2 linked regions of the Caenorhabditis elegans genome follow. The protein of the gene in region 1 binds, or shares a complex with, the protein of each later gene. Each region holds a gene or a part of one and is shown on either strand. Other genes may lie near its edges.

What was found.
Region 2: him-10 (region 1) and ndc-80 share a complex: the UniProt entries of both Caenorhabditis elegans proteins name them as parts of the NDC80 complex.

The regions. Positions count from the first base shown.
Region 1 is NC_003281.10:5,801,521-5,805,741, forward strand, and holds him-10 (Kinetochore protein Nuf2 homolog), read left to right. Parts: upstream 1-1,739; 5' UTR 1,740-1,744; coding exon 1,745-1,849; intron 1,850-1,900; coding exon 1,901-2,055; intron 2,056-2,101; coding exon 2,102-2,653; intron 2,654-2,709; coding exon 2,710-3,015; intron 3,016-3,072; coding exon 3,073-3,130; intron 3,131-3,177; coding exon 3,178-3,474; 3' UTR 3,475-3,592; downstream 3,593-4,221. Other genes in the region: polq-1 (DNA polymerase theta), read right to left, coding at 296-940, 991-1,227, 1,280-1,403, 1,454-1,522; R12B2.3 (Ras-associating domain-containing protein), read left to right, coding at 4,090-4,094, 4,141-4,221. UniProt on the Caenorhabditis elegans protein: Acts as a component of the essential kinetochore-associated NDC80 complex, which is required for chromosome segregation in mitosis and meiosis and spindle checkpoint activity.
Region 2 is NC_003282.8:10,084,166-10,088,940, reverse strand, and holds ndc-80 (Kinetochore protein ndc-80), read right to left. Parts: upstream 2,805-4,775; 5' UTR 2,795-2,804; coding exon 2,682-2,794; intron 2,635-2,681; coding exon 2,232-2,634; intron 2,180-2,231; coding exon 1,892-2,179; intron 1,845-1,891; coding exon 1,485-1,844; intron 1,407-1,484; coding exon 1,303-1,406; intron 1,256-1,302; coding exon 1,127-1,255; intron 1,055-1,126; coding exon 736-1,054; intron 688-735; coding exon 631-687; 3' UTR 504-630; downstream 1-503. Other genes in the region: ttr-39 (Transthyretin-like family protein), read left to right, coding at 145-338, 381-458; col-2 (Cuticle collagen 2), read left to right, coding at 3,504-3,783, 3,831-4,456; W01B6.8 (uncharacterized protein), read left to right, coding at 4,568-4,755. UniProt on the Caenorhabditis elegans protein: Acts as a component of the essential kinetochore-associated ndc-80 complex, which is required for chromosome segregation in mitosis and meiosis and spindle checkpoint activity.

The sequences.
Region 1 (4,221 bases):
AAATTGTATGCTATTATTCGAAAAATCGACATTTTGGAATCTCGAAAAAAAAACCGAAAAATTTTCGCTTTTCGATTTAAAAAAAAGGGAAGAGCGGGATTAGCAAACAACTGGAAATTCTTGAGTGAATAGTATTTTTTGAAAGTTTAAAGTAAATTTTTATCAACAAATCTTCACCCTAAATGAAAATTATTGTTTGATTTAATTTTTTCCCCAAAAATATTTCAACAAACATTTTGCTTTTAATTTCTTCCGATATTTCGGTTGACCACAATTAAAATTTTAAAACACTCACCTGAAGCCAAAGTACTTGTAGCCACAAGAATAACAATATTTTTCTCCCGAAATCCTAGTTCAATGCATTCTCTTTCCTCCATCGTCAATCCAGCATGATGATATGCTACTCCCCATGCAAGTGTTGACATAACATTCCGATCCTTGCAACCATTCCGTTCCAATCCATGCTTTATAAATAATAGTCCATTGGCTCGTTCTTTTAATATTTCCAACAATGAGCTGTCGGTTTTATTGATCTCATGGAATCTCGACGCAATATTCAAAGCAGTCTTCTCGGCATCAAGTTTCGAAGAAATCATTACCAAAGTCTGAGAATTGCGGCGAAAACTCTCTTCGGTAAGCAATATTAATGGATCTTCAGAGAATTCTCTTAGAACTTTGTTATCTCCAGATTTCCTCAACTCCGAACCAATTACAATATGATTTTGTAGAACAATTGGTCGAAATCTTGCTTCGAAAACTTTCGCACCGTCCAGCCATTTGCCTATTCGATAAAGTTCTGGAATAGTTGCACTCATTCCGATAATTCTAACTTTTTCCAGTGCAGATTGGTTCCAGAGCAAAACTTTCGAGAGCATGTGCTCAATGTGTGCACCACGAGACGAATCGAAAACCATGTGCATTTCATCAACGACTATCATTCCTGAAAGCTACTTTTTGTGAAAATTTTAAATTAAAATCGATTTATCTAACCAATTTCCTCAAACCAATCTTCTGATAATGCTCGATTTGTCAAACTTGCTGCTTTTTCGATGGTACAAACTGCCCCAAGCCACTCATTTGGATTTGAGGCCTGTGGACCAATGAAGCCACAGACAGAAATGTCATCTCGTCTCCAACACCGTTGAATTTGATGAAGTTTCTCTCGAGCCACGGAGATATAAGGAAGTACGAAGAGTACCTTTCTACCAGTTGAAGCGACTTTCCATGCTGAAAATTACAGTTTTTAAACATTTATTCTTTAAACCAGATAAAATAATACATAAAAGTTCAGCTACAATGCTTTTCCCAGCACTTGTTGGCGCACTGAATATCAAGTGTTGATCTTCAAATTGTCTTGCCTCATTCAACACATCAATCTGCCAATCGAACAGCGCTTTGATGTTCTGAAATTAAAAAAATTTTGTCCCTATTTCATCACAGCGATTTATGTTACCTGCTCTGCGTAATAATCGATGATTTTTGAAGAAACCCATTCTGGAAATCTACAGGAAGCCTCGTCCATCTTGTTTCATACTAAAAACTCTGATTTCAGACTGAAAAACATGTTTTTTTCAGCGAAGAAAACTAAAATTTGTTTGTGGCCGCGGTGGCCTAGTTTTCACGGCCGAGAAATGTCACATGTTTTGGCGCGCTCTTCGGCGAATTCAAATAAACTTTTTTGTTTTTAACAATTTCTAACTTTATTTTTGTGTTTTTAGAACTGAAATTCCATTTTTCAGGAGAAATGTCAAACGTTGTACTAATTGTGTATGATCCGCGGATGATTTCAAAGTATCTTGGTCAAAAATTGCATATGGGCCTTGTCGCCGATGACATTATCAAGCCAACCGTAAGTTTGAACAGAATATTGAATTCATCAGCACAAATAACCCGATTTCAGGCAGAAATAGCGCAACAAATATTTGCTAATTTTGTGAGGCTTGTGTTAAATGTGTCGGAAAGCTCGCTGACGACCCTTCCGCTGTCCGCCAACTGTGATTATGATCCAGAATTGCATAAAAAGAGCATTCCTATCATTATTCTCTTCCAATGCATGTAAGATTTTAATTTTAATGTTAGATTTGCTGAAATATTTTTTCAGGAAAGCATTTATCAAAGATAATTCTGGCAACAAGCTGGACTTGACGATGTGCGATCTCGTGACACCTGCAAAACACGAACATCGATTCAGAAAGCTGACAAGTTTTCTTGTAGATTTTCTGAAACTTCACGAATTGGCCACTCCAGCGTTCAATGAAATTAGCGAAGAGTTCAGTGATCGAAAGTTCGAAATGGAAAAGATTCGGGAAGAGTTGTTAGAAGCCGAGAAGAAGAAAAATGATCTTCTCGCGAAACAAAGCATAAGAAAACGTCATGAGCATGAATTAATCAACGAACAGAGCAATGCGAAGGCAGAACTTAAAAATGTTGTGAACGAATATACCGAAACTCGTCAAATTAATGAAGAACTCGACAAGCAGAAAGAAGAAGCTATTCTGCACATTCAAGCCCTCGAAAAGGAAATGCTAACTGGTAAAAAGACAATTGAGCATTTGAATGAAGAAGTTCTGACATCGCCGGAACAGCTGAAACAAGAAATGGAGGAAAGGAAACGTCACATTGAAGAGCTCCGCGATTGTCTTGAATCATCAAAGTACTGATATATCTTCAGTCTCTCCAAAAATTCAAAATAAAAGTAATTATTTTCAGAAAAGGCCTTCAAGCAAAACTCGAGGCTCGTGAAATTTGCATCAACTCGGAGAAGAACGTGCCAGTGATTATTGAGAAGATCCATCAGTGGACTGAAGTTCGAGAAGTTATCATTGACCTGATCGATGTTGAAAGTGAGAATCTTCGAAAGCTCAAGGAAATGGAGGAGCAATTGGATTTTATGATGAAGGAGATGGAAACGGCACAAAAGCGACTCGTCGAGCAGTCGGAGACTCATGAACAATTGCGTATAGAACACACGCAGAAAAGTGAAGAGCGTCAGCGTAGAATTGAGGAGATTACCGAGTGAGGAATTTATTTGATACTTTGAAAACATTTTTTTAAACGATGTAAATCTTTCAGGCAAATCGCAAATTTGAAAACTAGTCAGCCAGATGTGTCACAGGAAATTGCTAAAAAGGTTTTTGTCAGATCAATCTTCATAAAACTCACCAACATTTTTTTCAGAAGCAAGAACTCCTCGCTCTAAAAAACGCACACAGTGAGACGATTTCCCAAATCACCAACTCTTGCCAAGATGCTGTTGCAAAATTCGCAAAACTTAATGCAATGTTCAAAGAAACCCAGAAAGTAGCTTTTGAGAAGAACACTGCAGCTGCACGTGAAATGGAACGTCTAAAAAGCTCTCTTACCGGACGCCTTCTGAGTGATTACACATTCGGATCATCGACAATCGACGCCGGAGAGAACACGGAAAATTGTGATCCACAACCTAACGATTCGAGTTTTTCCGTTTTCAAATAGAATGACTCAACTCGAAAATTTCACTTCATTTGATCTCTATTCAATGTAAATGTTATGCTTTCTTCCATACCAATAACAAAATTTTAACTGAGTCTAAATAAATCATGTGGTCTTTATTTTCAAATGTTTTCTTTTCATTCCCAGGCTCTAGAAATTTCACACCAATTTACTTTTCAGGTAAGAATTCACTCAAGTGGTATTTACGGGGAGATTATGTGCCTCTGTTTTTAATTAAAAATAAAATTAGAAATTTTGAATTTTTTGCCTTGTATTTTTTTGTTTGCGTCTTTAAGACTACAGTAAGACAAAAAGTGGGCGTGGTTTCTTATTTTGGAGAAAGCTCAAACAGGGAATAAGTGAGAGTCGGAAGTTTTGAAACGTTTTTTGAAAAAAAAATTATCTTGAAATGAAAACTTTTCCAGAAATTTTAAACTTCTCTTCGCTCATTAGCTCTACAAGTTGGAATTGTCCTTCTGAATTGAATATTATCCTACCAAAATTCTAAATAAATTTAAATAAATCGTGCGGGCCTCGAGTTATTGCATTCAACATTGACATTTTTCGTTCATTTCTCAATTTTTGTATTGTATTTCTGAAAAATTCACTCTACAAATTATGCAGTAAGCTTTTTCAAATAATGTTCTTTTCAGATTTTATAATTTTCAGACCATTAGACCTTTCGGGTAAGAGATTAGTTCGACCAGATGATTCAAATGGTACAAGATCTTCCACTGATGATGTACATTC
Region 2 (4,775 bases), on another chromosome or scaffold:
AAGTGAATACCAAAACAAGAACAAATTATGATAAAACATTGTTCACTTAAAAAACAGGATCTCTCGTCTATTTTTGTGGGGACGATCCCCACAAAACCGTTATAAAACATTGCTTCAAAAAACTACAAAAAATTCAATTTTCAGTCGATCCAGACGATCTTATTGCTGAAACCCATGTAAACGAAGACGGAACTTTCGAAGTATCTGGATTTGCAATTTCAATAACTGCAATTGATCCCCAACTACGTATATATCACAATTGTCGTTCATCTTCCAAAGTTTGTCGACGCAAGATTACTTTCACTGTCCCAGACAATTATGTGAACAAGGGGATGCAGGTAATTGATGATACTTCATACTCCATCAAAATAATTTTTCAGGTGAATAAGTGGTTTGACTTAGGAGTTCCTAACATGGAAATCGGTGTGAAGCACAAAGAGGAACCACATTGTTATTAAACTTGCTTGAAACCATTTTTTGTGTAATATATTAAAGTTCGCTTTGCTGGAAATCATTGTTCATTGGCTTTTTATAAAATAAGTCTAAACCACAGAAATAAATGTTAGAGTCATTTTTTTTTTCTTTTAATGAAAGCTAGTATTATTCACAGAATGATTATGCCAAAGGAGACTAAAGAACCGCCTTTTCAATGCCAGCACATTGCACGTGGAATCCTATCTTTTTGTTCTGAAAAAATGAAAAATAGAATAGCTCAGTAAAATTGACAGGACCTACCTCAATCTCGGCGATTTCCACTACCATCAGATCCAATATTTGCCGGATTCCAGCTTCCAATTGAGATCTCTTTTGTATGTGTTCTTCTCCAGTTGCAGACATTCTGGCGGTCTCATCTTCGATTTCTTTCTCGAGGCTTCCATCAAGTTTCATTTGCTTTAGAAGTACTTCTTTTTCATTCAATAGTTGTTCATATCGTTGTTCAATATGTTTGCGAGCATCTTTCCAGCTATCACGTTCGTTTCGACGAATTCGTTCTTCGCGAGCCTCATTCTTCTTCGCTTCACAGAGTGTTTCGCTTTGAATTTGGATTCTTTCTCTGAATTATTGTTTATAAATGTGTATATTATTAACATTCAATGGAACGGCGCTTAATTCGAGTACAACTTACTCTGCGGTAACTGCTTTATTTGAAAATCTTGACTGTTCAGTCTCAAGCTCAAGCTTTCTCTGATGCAACTGTCGGCTGATCTCTGGAACCCATATCTTGTTCAACGTCTCCCAGTAATCCTTAAGATCTCTGAAAATGTAGATTTGTGAATTTTTAATAAATTGTTAGAAATTTACCTTTCATTCGTTGGAGCTCTTAGTGGTTCAAGATTCATTTGAATATTAAGTCCACTGAGAATTTTCATGATTTGTTCTGCGAGATGAATGAATTTGGACTTTTGCTGAAACATACAAATTTGATTGTCATACAAGTATTTCCGTGAATGATAGGCATTCAACTTTCCAAAAACCTAGAATACCTCTTTGAAGAAGTCTTCATCTTTGAGTTTCCATGTTTCTTTTGATAGACGATCCAACTCGCTTTGAATTTCCAGTACCACCTCCTTGTCTTTATTATTGTCAAGATTCATTTGACGCACTTCTTTTCCTGTCAATCCGTGAATTTGTTTTTGCAACTCAATTTTGTTCTTCAGATCGTCCACCATCTTTTGCACTTTTTCATTTTCTGAAATTTTCTCCTCTTGCTCCGACTTCACCATAGCCAGTTCTTTCTCCATATGCTGCTTAACATGAAGATTTTGCTCGAGATAATCTTTAGCTTTTCGGATGTCGTCTCTGATTCTTGATATCTCTTCTTTTAAGCTTGCTTCGTTTCCTTTCTGAAAATAAAACTTCTTTAAAACAAAAGTATCGAAATTCTACTTACATCAGCCTCTATCTCATCACATTCGTAATTGAGCATCTCCAGAGCTGATGCAGCTGTTTTAGTCATATCCTCGAATTCATTGGATTGCTCGAAATACTTCCGTAGACGATGCTTCGTGTCGTCCCAGTATGAAGAACTGGGATTTTCTGCTGCTTTTCGATCATTTGTATAATCTCTGAATGTACTTGTCATCCATGCATAATTGAGCGTTTTTTCTTGAGCTTTTCCCTGTTCCATGAAATCACCGAACAGGATATTTTGTGTGTCCTCACTGACAGCAGAATTGATCTAAATGGTTAAATAAATAGGGATGAAAATAATAAAAAAATCAGTTACTAACTCTAATGATATCAATAAGCCAAGAAAGTGCGTCAAGAAGATGTGGATATCCATGAGAAGATCCCATTGGTTGGTAGTAGCTGTTTTTGAGTGGATACGGGTATCCAAGACCTTTGAATATCTGGGACACCTCCTCTTCAATCCGCTCATGCCGTGGAAATTCGTAGTCTTTACTGAGATGTTGGTAAATTAATTCGAAACAAGCAATGAAATCATTCTTTCCACGAGGTTTCATAATGAGCTGTTCTGATGGTGCATCCGAGCTTTCATATTCCACAAGAAAGTTGTAAATTTTGCTTCCATTTAAGCTGACCAATGATTTCACATCTCGCGGAGCAACTGATGAATTTTTAGTATTAAACAATGACACACGAGGTTGACTCAGACTGGGGCGAGCGTCAGTTCTGCAAATTAGATTAGTTCTTCATCGCACGAAATTGGATATTTTTACTTTCTGACTGATGTTGATCCAGTATAATCGGTGAATCTTTTAGTCGGAGTGATAGCGATTGAGGCACGTCCGTTGAGATTCAAGCCGCCCGTTTTTCTTCGATCTCCAAACATTGTCAAGAAACTGTAATGAGCGAATAAAATTGACCAGAACTGAATATACTAACGGAAGGCGACGCATATAAAATTTAAAAAAATAATTCTGGCAACTATTGAGAACTTTGTTTTCCAACTTAAAGAAGAAAAAACATTTTTACAGAAATATTTATGAAAAAAAAAACGAAAATAGAAATTTGAGTAAAAACAATATCGAGAGAGAGAGAGAGAAGTCACATTTGAATTTTCCCGCTATAGCAATTGTGATTGGAGCGCACTTACATTACAGAGACGCTGCACTCGCGAGGAAACTGATTTCCGGAGATTCCAGAATGAAGGAATTGTTGGAACTTTTGAGATATAATTTCAAACACGATTAATATACAATAGAATTGAATTTTCCTACAATGGTTAGATCATTTCCAGTCGGTATATTGATAAACAGAAGTTGCCCCTTAATATTTGCATTTTTGTAATTGAAGTTTCCAGCCAATAATTACGTCAAATTTTTTTTCTTCGAGAAACTGATATAGTTTACAATAATAAACCAGTATCTTTAACCAATGGAGTGATAACACAGAACTGGATCCTCTTATTCTTTCTCTTTTCTTTCTCCTTAACAAGAACAATTATACCAGTTCCAAGTAATAGCCATGGACGTCTCTAGTATAAAAACATCAGTTCTTTTGGAATTCTTCAGTCCATCACTCACCCTCCAACAGTAATCATGGACATCGACGCTCGTATCAAAGCTTATAAATTTGTTGCCTATTCGGCAGTCACCTTCTCGGTTGTCGCCGTTGTCTCTGTTTTCATCACATTGCCAATGGTTTATAACTATGTTAATAATGTGAAGAAACAGATTCACACTGATGTTAATTTCTGCAAGGTTTCTGCTCGTGATATCTGGAGTGAGGTGCATCTTATTAAGGATGCTCCAGGAAACAATACTCGTGTTGCTCGTCAAGCTTATTCCACTGGAGGAGCTGGAGGAGGCGGAGGCGGAGGTAAGGATCTTGGTTCACAGAGTTTAAGTATTTGAATACATTTTCAGGCGGCGGAGGATGTGATGGATGCTGCAATCCTGGACCACCAGGACCAGGTGGATCTCCCGGAAAACCAGGAAAGCCAGGAAAGCCAGGAGCTCCAGGAGCCCCAGGAAATCCAGGAAAAGGAGCATCAGCTCCATGTGAGCCAGTTACTCAACCACCATGCCAACCATGCCCAGGAGGACCACCAGGACCAGCTGGTCCAGCCGGACCACCAGGACCACCGGGACCAGATGGAAACCCAGGATCACCAGCCGGACCATCAGGCCCAGGACCAGCCGGACCACCAGGACCAGCAGGACCAGCCGGAAACGACGGAGCCCCAGGAGCCCCAGGAGGACCAGGAGAACCAGGAGCATCCGAGCAAGGAGGACCAGGAGAGCCAGGACCAGCTGGACCACCAGGACCAGCCGGACCAGCCGGAAATGACGGAGCCCCAGGAACCGGAGGACCAGGACCAGCTGGACCAAAGGGACCACCAGGAGCTGCTGGAGCACCAGGAGCTGACGGAAACCCAGGAGGACCAGGAACCGCTGGAAAGCCAGGAGGAGAAGGAGAGAAGGGAATCTGCCCCAAGTATTGTGCTATCGACGGAGGAGTCTTCTTTGAGGACGGAACCCGACGCCGCTAAATTTAGAAGCGTGCCGTTTGTGCCAAATAAAGCATTTTTCATTCAACTTCTTTGTTTATAACATCTACATACCACACGAAGAAATATTTTTAAAAACGTAATCCTCGAAATATGTTCAATAATTTTCCATTTTCAAAATTTCCGTTTATTTCTCAATATTTCAATATAACATCTGAGGGGTGTTCAAGCAAAATAATGTGCTTGTATTCACAAATATCAATTATTCTGTTTTTATTCTGGTCGTTAATGTTACAACTCATCATTGGAACGACTTGTGTCTCTAAAAATTCACAGAAGAGGTAGGTCAATATTTAAAAAA